3 linked regions of the Caenorhabditis elegans genome follow. The protein of the gene in region 3 interacts with the protein of the main gene of each other region in a pairwise test. Each region holds a gene or a part of one and is shown on either strand. Other genes may lie near its edges.

Region 1 (7,962 bases), on a different chromosome or scaffold from region 3:
AATTATCAAAAATTTAGCGAATTGTCTCGAACTTCTTGGAATTTTTTCCGTACTGTTCTAATACGGTATCCAGCTGAAAATTTAAGCCAGTTTGTGTGCTTTATTGGCTTTTTCCATCAAATTTTTTGTTGTCATGTTATCTCAACATTTTTCAAAATTAGTGTTAAAATATCGAAAAATTACTTGATTCGTCTGAAAATAAACTTCAATTTAGCTAAAACATTTAAGAAAGCTTTTAAAAATGGCCTGAAAATTGCCAGTATCCGATTATCGAATTATCAGATTTTTTGTCTAACAATTTGCAACTTTCCCACCGATTTTGAGCATTTCTTCAAATGTTTCAGCTAAAAATATGTTTCATTTCCAGATAAATCGAGTGATTTTCGATATTTTGACACTAATTTTTAGTGAAAAACGTTGGAACAACATAGCCCAATAATTTTGTAGAATTGCCGGAAATAATAGCCCTGTACCTGTAAATCAAAATCAATATTCCCACCTGTGACACATATTTTTCTGAATAATTTTTTGATTCATGAAACTTTTTCTTTAAAATAATTAAAGCATTAAAAAAAACTCAAACTCGCCAAAACTCCCAAGAAACTGTCCAGGCACCCGAGAATCGCGCCAACGCCCTGCTGGCGCGATTCTCGTGCAGTGGCAAATCGCAGAACGCGCCAAAAACGGATCCGAACGGGTTTGAATCAGACGATGACTCATTTTTTATTGTTTTTCGAGTTTTATTGATTTTTTTTAATCGCCAAATGTATAAATCCCCCTAAAATATACACAATTTTCCATGTGTCACTTTGAATTTTCGGATAAATGATTGAAAAATTAGATTTCTCTATTCAAAATTTAAAATTCATAACCTTGAACTCATTTGTTTCGTTTTCTTCGCTCCGTTTTCTGATTTCTCATGAATTTTTGAAATCTCTGTTCATTCGAATTCTATTTTCACATCTTATTTTACTTTCTTGCAGAAAAAAGTGACGAAGATTTTCGGTGGAAAAGTTTCGTGAATTCTCACCGCTCACCCCAATCCATCTTCGACTCGGACATCAAAAAGAGCTAAAATAATGTCGAAAAAAGCGGTAAGTTTGAAAAATGTAGCTTCAAATAATTTAAAACTTTTACGGCCAAATAAAAAAAAACACTGTTTAAATTTGCGATTTTCTTATTTCTTTCGGAAAAAATGCCGCCATTAATTAAAAACAAATGGAAAAAATTTGAAACTGTGAAATGTTGAATATTTCGGAAATTATGTTCTGTTCAGCACGACTTCTGCCGATTTTTTTAAAAAATAAGAATCTATCGATCTAAAAATATACTCTGTATTTTATTTTTCACTTATAAGACTATAAAGAGGCATATTTCTGCAAAATGGACTCATTTTTGAGGTTTTGTTGAAATTTTCGAAAATAGAGGGTTTCAATACCATTTTGCATAAATGCGCCTCTTTTTAAACATATAAGTGGGAAATAAAATACAAAACATATATTTTTTACAAAATTAATTTAAAAAATTTTAGAAAACAATTCAGATTTTTACGCTTACGAAGTAGAGCCGCGAACAATTTTGAACTCGAAATAAACTCAAAATTGATGATATTTGAAATATCATTTCATTCTTTTTTTTTCTGCCGAAACTTCTATGAAGAAATGCGCACATGTATGTGTGCAAACCGACAAATAGGCGGAGCCTGTACAAAAACGGGCGGTCTATAGTTCTTCTCACTCCGTTTTTGTGCTGTATACAGGGAGAGAGAGTGACAACTCATATCATTTAGTTTTAGATAAGAATTTTAAATTCTCAAGTTTCACTCTTTTTTTTATTTTGAATTTCTGATTTTCATGCAAGATTTCTTATATCATTTTACTGAAAAATTTTAAGCTAACCTCTTCATATCAATTGGTCCAGCAGTTCAAACTTGTGGAACACAAAATAGAAAAATGGTTGCGGCCGGCGATGTAAATTGTTAATTGAAAAAATTTTTTTTAGAAATTTAAGAAAAAATATAACGAAAAATCGATTTTATTTTTGCCTAATCCAACTATTTCTTGTTTCAGATCAATGTGCGTGTCACCTCGATGGACTCGGAGCTCGAGTTCGCTATTCAGTCGAGCACCACAGGAAAGCAACTTTTTGATCAGGTTAGATGATTTTGTTTTATTATATTTAAAAAGTACTTTTTTTATTAAATTGGAGAATGGATAAATTTTAATAATTCAAAAAAAAAATCAGAATTTTCTGAAACATTAAATTTTCACTAACCATTAGAAATTTTAAATCAAAACGATTTAAATTTGAAAAAAATAATCCAAAATTTCCAGCTCTTGAAATTGAGTTTCGAATTTTCCAGCAATATTAATTCCTTCATTTTAATTTTTGCAGGTTGTCAAAACCATTGGTCTCCGCGAGATCTGGTATTTTGGACTTCAGTACACTGACAACAAGGGATTCCCAACATGGCTGAAATTGAACAAGAAAGTCTTGTCTCAGGACGTTAAGAAGGACCCGACTCTTGTTTTCAAATTCCGCGCCAAATTCTATCCGGAAGATGTGGCCGAGGAGATTATCCAGGATGTCACTATGGTATGTTTGACACCTTTTTTTAAATATTTAATTTTTTGGAAAAAAAAAACTGTAAATTTTCCATTACCTCTGGCCAATATTTGATTTTTAGTTGTAATTCTCACTTTTCGCTTTTCTGACATTCTCTGGCGACTCTCTTGATTTCCTGTGCTATTTCTGATTTGTAACTGATAAGTAGAGAATGCCCGTGCCATTTATGCATGTAATGCAATGTTGGCAAGCAATAGGAAATAACTTTGGAGTATATTCAAGAATAGAAAAAAAGGGGAAAATTTTGGTAAGGAATACATTTCTGTGGTTTTAGAGTACCTTCTTACAAGCTGGCCTGCTTAAAAAGACCCCAAAACGACCAAATTTCAAAATGAAATTTCTCAAAAAATGCCCGAAAATGAATTAAAGCAGTGAAAATTCTGAAAAAAATCCGATATTTTTTCTGTTAAAAAAATCCGATATTTTTGCTAAAATTAGAATAAAGTTTTTTATGCCAGTGATAATTCAATAAAATGGCATTCCGATTTAGGAAAATTTGGCTCTTTTTTGAGAATTTTGGCTCGCTATAAAGAATTTTTGAATTTTTTAAACCAGTTTTATTTGAGCAAAAAAAACTCTTCTGCTCAAAAATTTCCACGGCTCATGTGCTCACAAGGTCCTCAATAAACTGCCTAAAAACAAAATATTTTGATGGTGACAAGTGTAAACATGGGCATTTTCTCCCTTCCGTTTCAAAAAAAGGTTCTCCCATTGAGAGTGTGGTTTCCGATTACCTCCGAGCCACTTTTTTGTCTCACACAAAAAGAGATTGTTTAATGGTTTGTAAACATCGATGGGAAGACACTGTGTGTGCGAGACTCTTTTTTTGAGAGGAGAAATGAGCATCCTATTAGAACCTCCGACTGCGAACAGGAAATCTCTGATCTGGGTGGTCTGTTTTGTTTGAATAGGATCACAAGATCAGTTGAAGATTTCAGTAGAATAGCTATTTAGTACCTATATGCAAATTGATTTAGTACCTATATGCAAATTTAGATCAGTTGTTAAAATTAATGTAAAAATTTCTTTTTTTTTTAAATATAGAAAAATACTTTTATTTCTATGAAAATAACATTTTTCAGTTGAAACATTTGAGAAAATGCACAAAAATGGTCTGAAAGTTTCTAATTCACAAAAAAACCTTTTTTGAGCACTTTCTCAAATGATTCAAAAATATAAATATCACTTCCGGTTAAGTAAATTGATTTTTTCTCTTTTTTTTAGATTTCCAATAATATTTCGCATTTGAATTTGAATAGATAGACTGACTTAAATTCTGTTCCGATGACTCATATCAATGGAAACAATGAAAAAACTCTCAGTTTGTTGCTGTCTCTTTGCTCTTTTTATATTCATGTTCATAACTGACATAAAGAGGAAGAGGAGAATGGCATGTGTGAATAATCAAAAAATGATTCAAAACGATAAATATGAGGGGAAGAGAATATAAATTGAACTTTTTGCAAAATTTGCAGAATTTTTTGTTTGGAAGAGGGAACAATTGGGTTTCAGAATCATTAGTTGAAAATGGAGTATGGTTTTTTAAAATGTCAGAAAACAATCTCAATGTACAGAACATACAGTTAAAAAATTATGAAGTTTTTTAACTGAAATTAAGCCTTAATTAAATGAAAATATTTTCAGCGTTTGTTCTATCTCCAAGTGAAAGATGGAATTCTGTCAGATGAGATTTATTGTCCACCGGAAACCTCTGTTCTTCTTGCCTCTTACGCGATGCAAGCTAAATATGGAGACTATGTTCCAGAGACACATGTCGCCGGATGTCTTACTGCTGATCGGTGAGTTTTTCTTGAAATTAGCTTTTAAAAAAATTATTAATAACTATTAAAAAATATCTTTGCGGTTCAAAATTCCAATCAAGATTACTAAAATAAGAAAAATAATAATTTTCTGCGATAATTCATTTTTAATTATGTAGTGAAATTTCACAGTATCACAGTACTCATACAATTCATAATTATCACATGAAAATGAGATTAGAATAAAGAAGGGAAAGTTCCAGATCTAGATGATCAATAAAAAAGTATATAATAAGAAGTAGTTAAAAAAAAGTAAACTTTTTATATTAAATGCCAAAAATAATTAATTATTTCATTCCAGTCTGCTTCCTCAACGCGTTCTCGGACAATTCAAATTGAACAGTGAGGAATGGGAACGCCGTATTATGACATGGTGGGCAGATCATCGTGCAACTACACGTGAACAAGCTATGCTTGAATATTTGAAAATTGCACAAGATCTCGAGATGTATGGAGTCAATGTACTGTTTCTCATTTTTCTGTCGAGTTTTAAAAAAAGCTAATTTCAGTACTTTGAAATCCGCAACAAAAAGGGAACTGATCTCTATCTTGGTGTCGATGCTCTTGGATTGAATATTTACGATAAAGCTGATCGTCTTTCGCCGAAAGTCGGATTCCCATGGTCGGAGATTCGTAATATATCATTCAACGACAAGAAATTTGTCATCAAACCAATTGATAAGAAGGCTCATGTAAGTGATTACTGTCACACACAGTTTGTCGTGGCATCAAGCTTCTATTTGTTGGCAAAATTTCTGCGGAAAAAACGGAAAAATTGTGTGATAGTAGTTGGAAGTGGTGGTGATAAGAAGCAATCGATGGAACATTGAATTTTGATTTAAAATTTTTTTGTTGGTTTTTCTTATTTTTGGGGTGTGAAAATATCACAATCATTGACCAGATGCGGAATGTTGCGATTTTGAGGCAAAAGTATGGTGCCCGGTCTCGGTCTCGACACGACCGAATAAATTTATTTACCAAAATGGTGTGCACCTTTAAAAAGTAGAGTAGCTCCAGGCCTTTCTGATTTCCAACTTCGTTAGATTTTTCTAGTTTATTAATTAATAAAAATTAGTTTCACTAACAAAAGTAAAATAAAAGGTTTTTACAATAAAAATATTTAGAAAAAATCTATGAAAATTTCAAATCAGCTCAACGGTAACTACTGTACTTTTTAAATGCGCACATCCTTTTTCATTTAAATTTATTCGATCGCCTCGATATCGAGTAATGTGTTTTTGTATCAAAAATCGCAAATTTCGAGATGGATGGAACATTTTGTGGAAATTGAGTTTGTTGTAATTTTTCTGAACATTTTTTCCCCGATTTTTTGATTTTAGAAAAATCGAAAAAAAATTCTTATTTTCGCTGAAAAAAAAATCGAAAAAATGTTTTTCATTATTCGTCTTCATTTTTATCATTAATTTTCAGGACTTTGTCTTCTACGCTCCACGACTCCGTATCAACAAACGTATTCTTGCTTTGTGTATGGGAAATCACGAGCTTTACATGCGTAGAAGAAAGCCAGATACCATTGAAGTTCAACAAATGAAGCAACAAGCCAGAGAGGATCGTGCTCTTAAGATTGCCGAGCAGGAGAAGCTCACCAGAGTAAGTTGCGGAAATTTTTGAAACATGTTTTTACAAATAATTTCTAAAAAAACTTTCACTCAAATCTGTTTTGATCGTACAGGAGATGTCTGCTCGCGAAGAAGCCGAACAGCGTCAACGTGACGCCGAAAAGCGTATGGCTCAAATGCAGGAAGATATGGAGAGAGCTCGTCTTGAATTGGCTGAAGCACACAATACAATTCACTCATTGGAGGCTCAACTCAAGCAATTGCAATTGGCTAAACAAGCATTGGAACAGAAGGAATACGAACTTCGTGAGCTCACTGCTCAACTTCAATCCGAAAAAGCAATGAGTGATGGTGAGAGACGTCATTTGAGAGACCAAGTTGATGCTCGTGAACGTGAAGTTTTTTCGATGAGAGAAGAAGTCGAGAGACAGACTACTGTTACAAGACAACTTCAGACACAGGTATTTTTTATTTTTGAAACTAAAATAGAAACAAAAAATTCTCTTTAAAAAAATTATTTTAAATACCGTATTAACAATTATCGAGCAGTAATTTTCAGTCTGAAATTACTGTTTTAAAATTTTAAAATGAAAAAAAGTATGCAGTAATTCCTGAAATTAGTTGATTACTGTAACAAAAAAGCTTAATTTAAAAAAAAAATTTGCAACAATAAAAGAGATACAAAAAGAAAAAACTAAAAAAAATTGTGAAAGAATAAAAAATCCGATCTTTAAAAGCGAGATTTTTTAATTGTACGCAGTGATGTTGCAACAAAAATTTCGGCCAAAAAACAAACAAATTTTGTTTAAAATTTCTCCAAAAAACCAACAAAAAAAAACAAAAATGTTCATTTTTCGTCATACCAACTAAAACATAAAATTTTTGATAAACATTTTTTTAAATGTTTTCTTGTCCGAAAAAACCAAAAAAAACGGAATCCCTGATTGTAACTCTGGATTTATTTTATTTCAAAATTATTTTTTCTTAAATTCAGATTCACTCGCAACAACACACTCAACACTACTCAAACAGTCATCACGTTTCCAATGGACACGCTCACGATGAGACTGCCACTGATGATGAAGATAATGGAGCAACTGGTATGCCTTTTTTATTTATTTAAAATAATTGGGAGAGATTATGAGAAAAAATATCATCTTCAAATTTTATCTTCCAGAACTCACAAATGACGCTGATCAGAATGTGCCACAACACGAGTTGGAGCGTGTCACAGCAGCCGAGAAGAACATTCAGATCAAGAATAAGCTGGATATGTTGACTCGCGAGCTTGACAGTGTTAAAGATCAGAACGCTGTCACTGACTACGACGTTCTGCATATGGAGGTTCGTATTTTAAAAAAACTCGTTTTAATGGATGGTTTTAGAGAATTTAGCATTCAAAATTTACAGTAATTTTCTAGAACCTGCATTTTTTTCATAAATTCAAGTTTTAAAAAATATTTCCGGACTGCGATCAAAATACAATTTTTTAAAAATTAAATTTGGAAAAAAACAGAAGAACGCAAAAATCTTTAAAAAATATCGAGTTCCGGATTATTTTAAAATAAAAAAAATCATTAAAAATCATTAAAAAGCCATTAAAAACAAATTTTGCTTAAAAATAATTTTATGATATTAAAATTGTTTGAAGTACAGAAATTGAGTTTTTTCGGTGTTTTCTGTTTGCAGACAAACCGAAAACATTTCTGAAAACATTCCAAACTCGGTATTTCCTTTACGGAAACAAGCAACATAAATTTTACTTATTTTTGAACAAGTTTGACCCTAAATTTTTTAGATTTTTTGAGCGAAACCGAAATATCGAAAAACCGAAAAACCTGCCGGCCCGATTCCAAATTTTTAAATTTTCAGAACAAAAAGGCCGGACGCGACAAGTACAAGACTCTCCGTCAAATCCGTGGAGGAAACACAAAACG
Region 2 (7,764 bases), on a different chromosome or scaffold from region 3:
CTGTTTTACCCATTTTCCTTTTTAGACCATCTTTGGGACTATAATATTTGCTTTGAAAACTGGAAAATTATATGAAAAATCCAGTTTTTAAATTTATTTTAGGCTCAGTTTAGGCCAAACTATTTTAGGTCTTTTTTAGGCGTAAAAATTTGAAAATTTTTAGACTCGGTTTAGGTCAAACCATTTCATGGCCAAATTTCGGCTTGAAATCTAAAAAAAATTACGGTAAAATCTTATTTTTTGAAATGTTTGAAAACTCAAAATATTCCAAGAAAAAAAAAACTAGTTTTACAACATTTTTCTGGGTTTTCTTAAAATCCTTGTTGGGCTAAGAAATTTTAAACTAAGAAATTTTGCTGAAATCTTAAAAAAATTGTGTTGTTTGAGGTTTACTGGCCAAATTTTAGACTTTTTTTTTAATGGCGATAATTTCAAAAAAATCAAGTTTTTACAGCGTCACATTTTTTAAACATTTTTTAAGCTTAAACTATGAGATAGCAAAAAATTGTCTACTAACAAAATAATTACCGTAAAATTTCCTACATTTTATTAATAGCCAACTTTTCGATTGCTTCAGGCTCCACAGAGTTATAACGGTTTGAACTCAAGAGGCGCTAGGCTCCTTTTAACTTCAAACCTCTATAACTCTACAAATAAAAAAGCTAGCAAAAAATTGTTAACTATCAAAATAATTATCATAAACTTTCCTACATTTTATTTATTGGAAACTTTTTGATACCGTCATTTTCTGCAGAATTACAGGATTTTGAACTTGACCTCTACGCCTCCCTTGGCCCCCAGTTTTAACTTAAACCCCTATAACTCTGCACACAATGGTGCTAGCAAAACATTTGAACTGACAAAATAATTGCTATAAAACGTCCTACAATATGCTAGTTAACAACTTTTTGATGGCATCAGTCTCCGCAGAGTTACAGCTATTTGAACTTGACCTCTAAGCCTCCCTTGGCCCCCAGTTCCAACCTAAAAGCTCCATAACTCCGCAGAGAGCAGAGCTAGCAAAAAGTTGTCAACTAACAAAATAATCTACGTACAATTTTCTACATATATTCAATTTAAATTTTTCTGCTAGACCAACTTACCAGCAAGATCAACGCCCCTAAAGTTAGGGGCCCCTCCCGGTAGCCGGTCGAGCGTCCCCAGTAAACTCTTCCGGGGGCACCCGAAACAATGTTCACTCATCAATCGTTGTCATCTTTCTGGAGACATGTGTCTTATCTGTGTGTGTGTACTACTACTCTTCCCAATACACCCCATTACTCTCCGTCACTATCTCTGCGTCTCTCACCCCCGCCACTCTCTCGCTCTCGCCCATTCATTGAGTAAGCGAGGGGCCTCATTCCTTGATTATCAGCCACTGATAGGAACAATAAGACACCCATAGTTGTTCCATTTTTGCAATTAGAGAGGGAATAGTGACGCTTATAATATATTGTATATCCTATATCTTATCACAGTTTTTTTTTTTTTTTTTTGTGTATAGTTTTGGCCTATTTTATAGGTTTTGAGGGGGTCAAACTGCTAAGTTTAAATAAAATTTGTTTAATTTTCAGTAAAAGCGTCATTAGAAAAGTTTTGAACAAAAAATTGAAAAAAAAAATTTTGGCAAAAAAATTATTTTTTTAAAATTTTTTCAAAAAAAAATTTCCCTCGATTTTTCAAGTTTTTCTCTACTTTTTTTTTTGAATATTCTCTTATTTCAACATAATCATAAAATTCACCTCCTTTTCAGGTGCATGGAGACCCATCTCGGTTGGGCGCGAAGCCTGGAGGCCGTTCTATCCGATCGATCGGCACTCGACGCGTTTCAGGAATGGCTTATTGAGTACTCCTCGCCTCAGGTAACTTTTTTTTTGGGATTTTTCTGCGAAATTTGGATTTAGCTTGCCGAGAGCTTCAAAATAAGTATAATCATGACATTTTTACGATGATTTTGAAAATTTTTAGGTTTTGGCGCAAAATTTTTAGATTTTCTTTTGCTGCGGGACCCAAAGTTCCAATATTTGAAATTTTTACTTGTTTTCGGATGTAGCTTGTCAAGAGCTTCAAGATGAGTATAATTATGCCTAGGTTACTTCAAACTTGAAAGAATCTGGGTCTCACCGCGAAGGTTATTACTGTAGTCCCAAATTTTCGTGGCGAGACCCTAATTTTTCAACCTTTGCGGAACCTGGACATCATTATACTTATCTAAAAGCTGACAGCGAGCTGACTTCGAATTTTATAGTTTTGCAGGCGAAATCATAATTTTGTGAGAATTTTGACCAGTTACAAGGAAAGTCTGCGATTTCACGTTTTTTCGAAAATTTTTTGCGAAAATTTCAACTTTTTTTAATTTTCGAGATAAATTTCTCATAATTTAATCAATCTTTTCATGCGCTTTTGGAAAAGCATAATCATGACCACGTTTCGCAAAACGTTGGGTCCCACCACGCAACCCATGGGGTTCTGTAGTTGTTTGTCGTTGTGGGACCCCATAAAAATTAAATTTATTGAAATTCATACACAGCATCCTGAGAGCTTTGAAATAAGTATAATAGTCTAGGTTCCGTCAAAAAAAAGTTGGGTCTCACCACGAAATCTACTACTGTGGCCCCACATTTTCGTGGCGAGACCCAATTTTTTCAAACTTGACGGAACTCATGCATGATTATACTTATTTCAAAGCTCTCAGCAAGCTAAATTCAAATATTGACTTTAAATTTCCGAATTCTCTAAAAAAATAAGAAATTTTCAGTACCTCGACTTGTTCTTCGCAATCCGAGCATACGAACGAATGGCGTTGGAGGGAAAACCGGAGGTATTGATTTTTTTGCAACTTTTTTGGCAAATCGGGCAATATTTATCTATTTTTTTTAGAAATCCCAACTTTCCAAGTCAATATACTCGAAATTTTTGTCCTCTCGGACCGGAAACTGCGAAGCAATTCCCAAGCATTTTAGGGCTCCGGTAAGCTTTTCTTAAAATTTTTTAAAATCAAAAATTAATTTTTGGATTGGTGAAAAACTACGTCATGGCACCGAATTAGAGGATCGGGTATTCAGTCATTGTTCGAATTTTGTTCAAGAATTTTTAAGACGCCAACACGAGGAGTTTGTGGGCTCCGAAGAGTTTATTGAGGCTTTTAATAAGGTAAATTGTTTTTTTTTTTAATTGTGAAAATTTGAATTTAGCTCACTGAGAGCTTTAAAATAAGTATAATCATGCCTAAGTTCCGTCAAATTTGATAGAAGTTGGGTCTCACCACGAAAACCTACAGTAACCCAGGATTTTCTTGGCGAGACCGAGGTTGTTTGGAAAATTTACAGAATTTGCGAAACCTATGCATTCTTAATGTAATATCGGCGGTCTCAGTTCAGATTTTCAGAATTTTGGCGAAAATTTTAGGGTTTTCCAACAATTGGGTCCTACGACGAAATTTTTCCGGTGCCTAACTTTTTGAATTTTGATTCTTTGCAATTTTTATTTACAAAATTAAACTCAATTGACTGAAAGCTTCAAAATAAGTATAATCATGCTTAGGTTCCGTTAAGTTTGAGAAAAGTTGGGTCTCGCCACGAAATGTATTACTGTAGCCCCAAATTTTCGTGGCGGGACCCAACTTTTGTCAAATTCAACCAAACCTAGGCATGATTATACTTATTTGAAAGCTCTTTCTAAGCTAAATTGAATTTTTATAGTCACAGTGTGAAAAATTTGAAAACCGAGAAGTTGGGTCCCACCACGAAAGGGTTACTGTAGGTTTTCGTGGCGAGACCCAATTCTAATAGAACCCAGACATGATTATACTTATTCGAAAGCTATTTTTAAGCTGAATTTGAATTTTAGCATTTTACGTATCTTATCGCAATTCTGAAAAAAATTTCCAATCCCAAAAACTAAAAACCCCAATTCCAGATGTCATCTACCACCGCCGACCAGCTCCCGGGAGGCTCCGCCCACCATTCATCACACCAAAACACCATGAGAAGGTCGTCAGGCACTACCTCCCGTAAAAGTGCCGCACAAATCGCCACCCAGCTCACAGCTGAGGCCCTCCTAAAATCGAAACACGACAGGCACAGCAAACTTGGAGAAACGTAAGTCGCCTACCTACCCTACCTATTTAAATTTGAATTTTTTTTAGAAAACTTGAGAAAATGTACCCACCGACACGTCAACCATACGTATGCAACGCCACTACCTCACACAACGACTCGGCTGTCAGCTCGACGTTTTCTGGGGACACGCCCGAAGCCCATAGGATGCATAGTAATAGGTAGGTGATTTTGGTTAATGTATTTGAATTAAGCTTGTTGAGAGCTTTTAAATAAGTATAATTATGCCTAGGTTCCGATAAAATTGGGTCCCGGCACGAAAATCTACACTAACCTTTTCGTCGTGAGACCCTACTTGGCAGTTTTCAGATTTTTTACTTTTAAATTGTGATAGCTGAGCTCAACTTACCAAGAGTTTCAAAACAAGCATAAACATGCCCAGGTTCCGTTAAAATTGGGTCCCGCCACGAAAACCCCGAGTTACTGTTGGTAGGTTTTCGTGGCGAGACCCAAATTTTTTCAAACTTAACTGAACCTAGGCATTATTATACTTGTTAGAAAGCTCGTTACAAGCTGAACTTTAATTTCAAATTTTTAGGGTTCAATAAATTATTTCTGAAAAAAATCGCGACGAGACCCAAATTAAGCTTATTTTTTTGAAAATTGTATTTTTTTGAAAACCTTAAATTTTAGTGTTGAGAGCTATTACTACAAAAAAACCAAAAGTTTTCGCGGTAAGACCCTAAAATTTTGAAAATTTTCAGGCCATGGCATGATTATACTTATTTTGAAGCTCTCAGTGAGCTTATATCAAATTTTTATCTAAAAGTGTCTAATTTCCAGACTCCGCCATATCCGAGACGAACAAGCCCGCGAGAATCACGGTACCATGACACTGCCACGTGTCGAAAAAGCCAGCGTCGATGGTCAGCAATGGGATCATTCTTCTGAATCAGGAAGAAGAAATTTTGCAATGGAAATCACCAGAAAACTGCTTAGGCATATTGATAAGGTTAAGCTAAATGATGAGATGGAGAAGAGGATTGACGATATCGAAGAGTGTCGGTATACGGTAGGTTTTTCAGTTTCGAGTTTTAGGCTTTGAATTTGTAAAATTTGAAATCAGCACGCCGAGAGCTTCAAAATATGTATAATCATGACTAGGTTTCGCCAAGTTTGAAAAATTTTGGGTCCCACCACGAAAATGTGGGGTTACAGTAATACCTTTCGTGGTGGGACCCACATTTTTTAAAACTTGACGGAACCTAGGCATGATTATACTTATTTTGAAGCTCTCAACAAGCTGAGTTTGAATTTGTAATTTTTAAAGTGAAATTCAAAGAATTTTAGGGTCCCACCACGAAATCGTACTTCGCGGCAGGACCCAACTTTCTTCAATTTTGCAATTTTGCTTGGAAACTTATAAATTGGAGCTAACTTTGCTCATAGCTTCAAAATAAGTATAAACATGTCTAGGATCCGTTTTATTTAAATATTCCTGGTTTAAGCGTACAGTAACCCTAGATTTTCGTGGCGAGACCCACTATTTTTCAAATTCAACTAAACTTGAGCATGATTATACTTATTTTGAAGCTCTTTACAAGCTGAGCATGTTTTTTTAGTTATCTAGTCACCACTGCAAAATTTGGATTTTTTGGGTCCCACCACGACTACAGTAACCCTGGATTTTCGTGGCGAGACCCATTATTTTTTGAATTCAACTGAAATAGGGCATGTTTATACTTATTTTAAAGCTCTTATCAAGCTGACTTCAATTTTCAAATTAATTTTTCAGACAATCGACATGGTAAACGGCACGGAGCCCAACGACGATCTGGGGAAAATCGATGAGGACGAGGAGTTGGATGATTATCTGAAAATGAAAATGACAGATGATTCCCAAAAAGGATCAACAAATCGATCACCTAAAGGCCCAGCAGGAGAGCCCAACAAATCTGGAGAAGGATCGAAAAATAGTGAGTTCCCATGCTCCGGTACCATATGTCGGGTTATTCTCATGAAGGGATTAATATTACTAATAGGTGTTAGAATTGGAATAGCTGTTAGTAAACATCTTAATGACAAAAATATTTGTCAGGGAACGTTTTTTTTTAGTTCGAATCTATGAAAATTAAAAATAAAAAAATTTTTGAAATTTTTTTTGAGCAAAAACTTTTTTCTCCAAAATTAATAAATTTAATTATTGAAATTATTAAAATCACGTCTGCCTCATTGAGAGCTTCAAAATAAGTACCAACATGCCTAGGTTTTCTTGATTTTGGGTTCCGCCACGAAAATGGGTGTTGTAGCTTTTCGTGGTGAGAACCAACAACTACAAAATGACATTTTTGCTTTAAAACTACAAAATGCAAGCTCAGCTCACCTAGAGCTTCAAAATAGGTATAATCATGGCTAGGTTCGGTGAAATTTGAAAATTGTTGGGTCTCGTCACGAAATGTATTACTGTAGCCCCAAATTTTCGTGCCGAGACCCAAAAATCTTCTAATTTGACGAAACCTAGGCATGTTTATACTCGTTTTAAAGCTCTTGACGAGCTGAAAAAAAAAATTACTAAAACTGTAAAAGTTTTAAATTTTAAATATCTTTCGTGGTAAGACCCAAATTTCTGAAATTTCAAAAAAAAATCCAGTATTTTTATATTTCCAGTCAATTTTCAAACTCAGCTCGTTCAGAGCTTCAAAATAAGTATAATCATGCCTAGGTTTGGTGAAATTTGGAAATTTTTGGGTCTCACCACGAAAGTTATTACTGTAGCCCCAAATTTTCGTGGCGGGACCCAACTTTTTTCAAACTAGACGGAACCTAAGCATGTTTATACGTATTTTGAAGCTCTTCATGAGCTGAATTCAAATTTCCAATTTATAATATTTTCCAGCCACCCTCTCCCCAACCAATCGTGCTCCCGCTCAGCTCCACAACACAATTCGGGTCCCGAGACGAAAAGATTACCCCCGGGACACCTCGGCTTCTCTAAAATCTCATCGTCACCATCAAATCGACACAAATCGAATGATGAGCCAATCAATGTGCGCTCCATCGTACTCCTCAGCCAGCTCCTCCTACAGTAGGGACTCCTTCGCGCCGGCGCCCACTACCAGGGTGAATTTTGCTCCGGGGAGCAGCAAATCGAGTCAATTCTATGATTCTTCGGGAATTGGGTCTATGGCACCGTCGGCGTTCTCCGCCACTTCGTCACTGGATTATAAGGATCGGAGGCAGCACAGAAAGGCTCCAACGCCTAAGAAGCACTCGAAAATTGGGAAAAATTTGTCGAATTTGATAACTATTAGCTATTTAGGTAAGGTTTCATTTTTTTATACAAAAAAAAGTGAAAAAAAAAATTTTACAAATTTTTTTTTGAAAATTTTTTTGAACTTTTTTTTCAGATTTTCTATGTTTCTAGGGTAGATTTTACCCTAAATTTTATATTTTCTAACATTTTAACTCAAATTTTTTTCCAGGAACCGATAAAATCCCTGTGGTAACACATGTCCCTAACGATGGACCAATGACGTTGGCGGAGTTCAAGAGGCACTTTGCTCTGCCAAATGGAGCACATCAGTGAGTTTTTTTTTGGGTTTAAACTGGGAAAATATTGATTTTAGGTTGATTTGGAAGTTTTTGGAAAATTTTGAAAAAAAAAATTTTTGCTCAAAAATATTTTTTTTTGGAAAAACAAATTTCC
Region 3 (6,401 bases):
TTCAAACAAAATTCAACTAACTTTAGTTAAATTGAAAAATAAAATAAAAAGCCATGAAAATTTTTGAATTTGTTTTTGTTCAGCACATTTTTTCATTTCAGGTCATTTTTACATTATTCGTCATCACCACGGCTTGTTAGTATTCCTTTGAAAAATTTGAAACTGAATTTATTTTCTAATAAAATTATGACCAACGAAAGCAATTGTGAAAATAACTTTTTTCCTATGGAACCGTTTTGTTTTGAAATTATAATTTATTTTAATTGAACTCAAAACTAAAAAAAATCCTGCGTTTTTTTGAAACAAAGTGCTTACTCATTGGGTACCTAAAAATTAAGAACCATGGTCTTAATTTTTTTTGTTGAGTTTTTTTTTTTTAAATAATTGTGTTCTCATGCTAGATTATTAAACACATTTTCTATCAAAAAAAAATGCGCAAATGCAAGGTATCAACTCGGGAGAATCTTATTCATTTTTCAATTGTTTTCGCTTGTATTTTTTTCCAACCTTCCTCCGCTAGACATGTATTTGATGGGTTTCACCTTTTTCTTCCAATTTCAGTTCACGTTTTTTTGTTCAGCATCTCTTTTTTCCCCTCTTTTCAAAAGTATTCAATCTTATGCAATGTTGTTCTCAATAAAAGCAATAATGTGTTCAGTCCTTTACATGCGAGCAAACAGTCCTGAAACTTAACTGGCAGAGAATTGATATGCGTGTGGTTTATCATGTTTTTTCAGGGTTCTATAACTGGAAAGAAACTTATCACAAAGAAGAAATTCCACTCTTTACATTTTCAATTTTTGAAAGAATAATGAAGCTATGTTTTCTTTTCTTTTTTTTTGAACTTTTGAACTTTCAGGTAAAACAAAAAAGTTTTCTTAAATCTATTTTGGATTCAAATCGAGGAATGCCTTGGAAACTGATTTTTTTTTCACTAAAAGATTGTATCTTAAGAACTTTCGTTCCATTTTCTAGTCAAATTAAACTGTAAACTATTATGTCCTTCAATTGGGATGTATTGTAAAATTTGACCCGTTCCAAAATTATGATGGCATCTACTCATTTTTGTAGAAATAAAACCCAACCATCTGCTAGTCTCGGCAAACAACACGCGAACTTTGTTTTTATCCCCTCTCACTCTCAGTTCAGTTCAGCGCTCTCCACCGATTTTTTATTTTGATTTAACTCGTCAATACTCTCGTTCCATTGTTACGGTTGTTAGCTGCATATACAATACGTTTTTGGCGCCTGACGCGAGAAGGTGTAATGCGTGGCACGCATTGATAAGCGACACGGTTTGACAGGAAACTTTTAAGCAGTGCTCTGCCATTTCTGTCTTTGCACTCCATTACACCGTGCAATTTGCCTTTTACCGATCTTTCGTCACGGTCAATCATCTCCGTTTTCAGCCAGGTTTTTCTGTTTCAAATATAATTTCACGGGGAGTACAATAGGAATGGTTTGTCTTTGATGATAGTTGAGCAAAGTTTGCAGAAATAATCATATTTTATATGTAGCATAAGTTTGTTTTGCTATTTTTCTTAATTCTCACTGTTTATCGTTCTCGATTTTTCCATTCCCACAATTTAACAACTCCTATTATTGTGTCTTTTGTACAGACATGTCGCGAAGCACGGCTGTCAGCATCAACTTGGATGACGTCTTTGGCAACCTTCCAGCGTTGACATCTGCCACCAACGTGAAATCTTCCGAGGTAACCAAAAATTTCGCAGAATTTTTGTATTTCCAATAAATTTTGAAAATAATTTCAGTCTGGAAATAGAAGCCGCAAGACAACTGCTTCGAGTGTATCCACTGTGAGAGAGGTTCCGGTAAGAGTTCATTATGGTATAGAGCTCATAATACTTGTAAACTTTTCCAGATTGGAAACGGAATCCGATCACATGCGACATCAACTGTGGTGTCCCATCCACCACATGCAGTATCTGCACCTCCACCACCACCAGTCAATGTCACCCCAATTTCGCATTACTACGATGCAACTCCAGTGAATGACGATTTGATGAACTCGGTAACTATATTTTTAACTGAACCACTTTTCACAACAACGTTTTAAAGGTCTTTTCCGCTGTGACACTGCCAACTGTCAACTTGCACGGAGGACATGACGATGCTCTCCGTCATCTCGACGAAGCTTTGTATGGTGAGGATCACGAGTCCATCGTCAGTGAGCCACCATTTCAAGCTCCAAGCCATGTGAGCTCGTCACATGTTACATCTCATGTTAGCTCGCACAGAAATCAGTATGCAAGCGAACATCACCCACAAAACGCAAGCGTAGTGTCAAACGGATCTGCCAAGGTAAATTTCAATTTTTAGGAACTATTCGGGTAAGTTGGTCCGTTTTAGAGGCATGCCGCTGCACGAACTGGAAGTCTCGTCGTGAACAATGTTTTCAACGATTTGAATATCAATTCTCAAAGCTATGCAAGTTATTTGCATTGTGTTGAAAATAGATTGTTTTGAATTCAAAGTAAGTTCGTAATTTTCAGCACTACGACGCCTACGGATCTGAGCCGCAGCCGGATTATGAAGACGAGAGAAGTGACCACTTCAATCTGAATCATCAATATCCAATCAGAACGGGTGAGTGTCACTTTTCAAGACGGAAATAAAAAAAATTGTAGAAGCATGTAAATAAGTTGCAACGGTCATATTTCTGCTATGAGTCAGTTATTGAGGAGTGAACAGTGGTGTAGGCTTTTGTTATGCACATTGAACATAACTAGTCATACTCTTGTCTGCTCAAAAATGTTTGACTATTTTTATACTCAAGCGGGTCGTAAGTGTATCCGAAATAGTACTAGTTAGTTTTAAAAAAAGTTGCATATAATCAATGTATGTTTAAAAAAGTTATTTTAGCACAACCACACCGTGATCGTTCCAACACCATCGATAGCTCCGCATCGTTTGCTGAAAGCCGTTTCGGACAATTCGATGTTCACGATGAGCATGACCGTTACCATGGTGAAGAAATCAACCTTCATCATGACGAAGTGGCATATGAACGCCCACGTTCTGAGCTCAGCGTGAGAAAATTATCAAAAAAATCTTCATTATCATTAATAAAGTCTTTTTACAGTCACCAGGAAGTGTGTACTCTTCCCATACCCAAGCTTCGTTCCACACTGGTGGAACCCAGAAGCTGAGAAATCTTCAACGCCAAGTTGAAGATGCTCACGCGAAAAAAGCTCAGCTCTCTCATCAAGTTGACCGTCAACGCGCTGACAATGACCGCATGACTCATGCTAATTTGGCTCGTGAAGCTTCATTGAAGGTCAACAAAATTGGACAAGGTGCGAAGCCACAAGGCTACCACGTTCGCTCGTACAGCCATGAGCACGATCATCATCATTTGCCGCCACAGCCGAAATCCAGCCATTCTTCAAGTAAGTTTTAGAGAATTTAATTAGACTTATAAACACGGTCTTAACAAACACTCAAACTTGCCAAAATAACAAGATAATCAGGCTTCATTTTTCTGAGGTCGAAGTGAGTGTACCGTAGGAGTACTGCAGGAGTACGGTAGGATTACTGTAGTTTTCGTAAAATTTGATATAGAGCTTTTGAAGAGGTTGCGGTTTGCTGACATAACCGTGATAGTTTTTTTTTTTTTGAAAGTGTAAAATTGTTTCAAATCTTTCAAAAATGTTAGAAGCTTTACAAAAGTTTGAGGCTTTCCAAAACACTTCCGAAAAGATCACAATGCTCTAGAGGAACTTGTGTAGTATACCATACCCAAAACTATTATCCAATACGCTTTCAGTCGTTTCTTTCAAAAATGATAATATAATCAAAACTTGAACTACATTTGCATTTTTAAGCTCAGGAAACACTAATCCCATGCCTAATGTAGATTTAAAAAAATCACGAACATTTTTAAAATGGTTAAAACTTTCGGGCCAGGTGTACTGCACACACTCTACAAAAGTGTATAAATTATTTAAAAGAAAAAAAACCATGCACCTGCAAAAATGTGTGGCAGTTTTCAATTTTCTGTTTGTTCAATTTTCTGAGTACAATCAACGTTTTCTGTGCGAACTTCTATGTAAAACATATTATTTAAATTTTCTATTGCGTATATCGAATATTTAAGAGAGCGTGGACTCAAGCATCTACGAAGAGGAGGAAGCTCGTGTCAGCCCACTAGCTGCTAAACAAAAGGCAGCAGGAGAACATGTAAGTCATTTATTTTTCATATGAAAATTATTTTAATATTCTTAAAAATTATTAGATTGCAAGCAGCGGAAAATACGAGCTCGTTGTTCCACAATACTATGTTGTTGAAAACTTCTCCAAGAATGACAAGATCAACAAGGTTATCATTGGAGGAGATGCTCCACCAAGTGACGATGACAAGACTCTGCTCCTGTTCGGTCCAGTTAATTCTGGAAAGACTTCTGCTATTACCAGCATGATGAACTATTTGTATGATGTTAAGAAGGAGAATGATTTCCGGTAACTTAATTTTTTAATTTTCAATGTTATAATGTTCATTATTCTTCTTTTTTCAGATTTGTTTTGGACGAGCATGTGAACGCAACCACTGGACTCACCGCCTACGTTTTCAACAACACTGTTCTTCCTTATAACGTCACTGTTGTTGACACACCCGGGGTTGAGGACAAAATGGGCAACAAGACGGTCTCGCGACTTATCAAGCAGTGGTTTGAGAAGGTGAACTATTGAAACTTTGCAAAAAATTCTAAATTTCACGTTTTAGGAGCTTCTCAAATCTGGATCCTTCCGTCTTGATGCAATCTCAATTGTTTTGAGACACGACGAGAATCAACTGGGATGGCCGTTCATTTATGAGTTGGCTGATGTTAAGAGAATGTTCGGAGACGATTTGAAAACAAACGTTCTGCCGATTATCACCAACTCTGAAGTTCTCCCACAGCCAATTGCCATCAAAAGTCTCACACAGGCCAACATTTCTTTCCTTGAATACTACAAAGTTAACAACTCGGGATTCGCACCACTCCCAACAGGAATTTCCAAACTTCAACATAATCTCTACTGGACACACGGAACAGCTTCGTTGGAGAATCTTTTCAGAGTAAATATTATGGGTTGGGGAAGTGAAATTTAAAACTGAAAATACTAGGTGTCTCAGTCTGCGTATTTAACTCGGTTTAGTTGAAAATAACTGAAAATAGTACACTTTATTTGAAAAGTAATTTTGGCTTTCAAAAATCATCTTTCAAAAATCATCACATGAAAGCAAAGAACATAAGTATAAATTGAGGCGTCTCAAGATTATTTTTCAACCCGTCCGGGATCAAATTCAATTCAAACTTATATTGAAAAACGTATGCAGAAAAAACTGTATCTGATGAAACTTTAACATATTTTGAACTCCAACTTCAGCATAATTTTAATTTATTTCATATGTATGGGAAGGCTTTCAAATATTCAAAATAGAAAACTTTCCATGAAAACTATTCCGGTTTTTATAGTAATTATGACATAAAATTTTTCAAATGTGCTTATGAACATTTAAATAATTTTTTTAAACATATTTATATATTTTTGTTTTCGGTTTAGTTCTAAGCTTTTTTCATATCAAGTTTTTAACTCATATTAACTCACTTTTCAAAATTGTATTAATAATGTTCGAATGTGAGAGATGATATTAATTTTTGCGGTTTTGATAGGTCAGCTTATTATCTATGCTTCTGAAACTACCTTATTAAATCTTTCACTTCAGGATTTGCAAGAAACTGTCCACCCACTAGTTGCCATCCTCCGACACAACAAGGGACAAAAAGTCGAACAAGCTCCAGTGTTTGCTGATAAAGTGTTGTATTAAAAAACAATTTATTATTATTAGTATTATTATTTGTGTTTTCTGATTCAATGGTTTCAATTTAATCTCCGATCCACTCATTTTGTATTTATTGTTCGACTTAACATTTTTATCCAACGCGACTCGATAAACATTCCCTATCAATCGTTTTTTTTGTTTTTCAGCTTCATTTCTTTTCGCTAAGGAACTAATATAATTTTTGGCAGAATAATATTGTTCATTGATATTTAAATCAAAAATACAAATAATATTATAGGAAATTCTAGAAATTTCGACATATCAGTTAAGAGGAACGCTATTACAAGTGTCAAGTTTTACAAATATGATTACCTAGTGTATAAAACGAATTTCAGGAAATTTTAATTTTCAAAGTGTACAGAGAAAGCCTAGATTGATAGATACTATCACTTTCAAAAGTTCCTTAAAATTCAAAGCAAATGATGATACTCATTTTAAAGTGAATTAAAATTGTGAACATAACATTCGAACTTTTTGGAGCTTAGGCCGGATAATAATGTGTTGAACTATACAGAAACAAAAAAGAAACATTTGAATACTTTGGAGTACATCT

What was found.
Region 1: the proteins of C18B2.5 (region 3) and erm-1 interact in a two-hybrid assay, tested with the Caenorhabditis elegans proteins (2 studies listed by BioGRID, with this or other methods).
Region 2: the proteins of C18B2.5 (region 3) and pry-1 interact in a two-hybrid assay, tested with the Caenorhabditis elegans proteins (one study listed by BioGRID).

What each region holds. Positions count from the first base shown.
Region 1 is NC_003279.8:5,284,626-5,292,587, reverse strand, and holds the start of erm-1 (Moesin/ezrin/radixin homolog 1), read left to right. Parts: upstream 1-1,893; 5' UTR 1,894-1,952; coding exon 1,953-1,970; intron 1,971-2,069; coding exon 2,070-2,153; intron 2,154-2,394; coding exon 2,395-2,595; intron 2,596-4,269; coding exon 4,270-4,424; intron 4,425-4,746; coding exon 4,747-4,906; intron 4,907-4,954; coding exon 4,955-5,137; intron 5,138-5,876; coding exon 5,877-6,056; intron 6,057-6,138; coding exon 6,139-6,486; intron 6,487-7,019; coding exon 7,020-7,125; intron 7,126-7,202; coding exon 7,203-7,369; intron 7,370-7,897; coding exon 7,898-7,962.
Region 2 is NC_003279.8:14,173,350-14,181,113, reverse strand, and holds the start of pry-1 (Axin-like protein pry-1), read left to right. Parts: upstream 1-1,753; 5' UTR 1,754-1,757; coding exon 1,758-1,862; intron 1,863-2,758; coding exon 2,759-2,821; intron 2,822-2,880; coding exon 2,881-2,970; intron 2,971-3,015; coding exon 3,016-3,153; intron 3,154-3,603; exon of another isoform or gene 3,604-3,676; intron 3,677-3,918; coding exon 3,919-4,100; intron 4,101-4,147; coding exon 4,148-4,279; intron 4,280-4,901; coding exon 4,902-5,130; intron 5,131-5,853; coding exon 5,854-6,034; intron 6,035-6,954; coding exon 6,955-7,377; intron 7,378-7,540; coding exon 7,541-7,640; intron 7,641-7,764. UniProt on the Caenorhabditis elegans protein: Works in parallel with axl-1 in negatively regulating bar-1 signaling in vulval precursor cells and Q neuroblasts. Inhibits Wnt signaling, which affects tissue specific expression of Hox genes, egl-5, lin-39 and mab-5.
Region 3 is NC_003284.9:3,606,311-3,612,711, reverse strand, and holds C18B2.5 (G domain-containing protein), read left to right. Parts: upstream 1-1,619; 5' UTR 1,620-1,621; coding exon 1,622-1,714; intron 1,715-1,772; coding exon 1,773-1,832; intron 1,833-1,882; coding exon 1,883-2,032; intron 2,033-2,079; coding exon 2,080-2,322; intron 2,323-2,370; coding exon 2,371-2,448; intron 2,449-2,513; coding exon 2,514-2,607; intron 2,608-2,883; coding exon 2,884-3,050; intron 3,051-3,103; coding exon 3,104-3,410; intron 3,411-4,117; coding exon 4,118-4,200; intron 4,201-4,255; coding exon 4,256-4,479; intron 4,480-4,535; coding exon 4,536-4,698; intron 4,699-4,744; coding exon 4,745-5,080; intron 5,081-5,731; coding exon 5,732-5,833; downstream 5,834-6,401.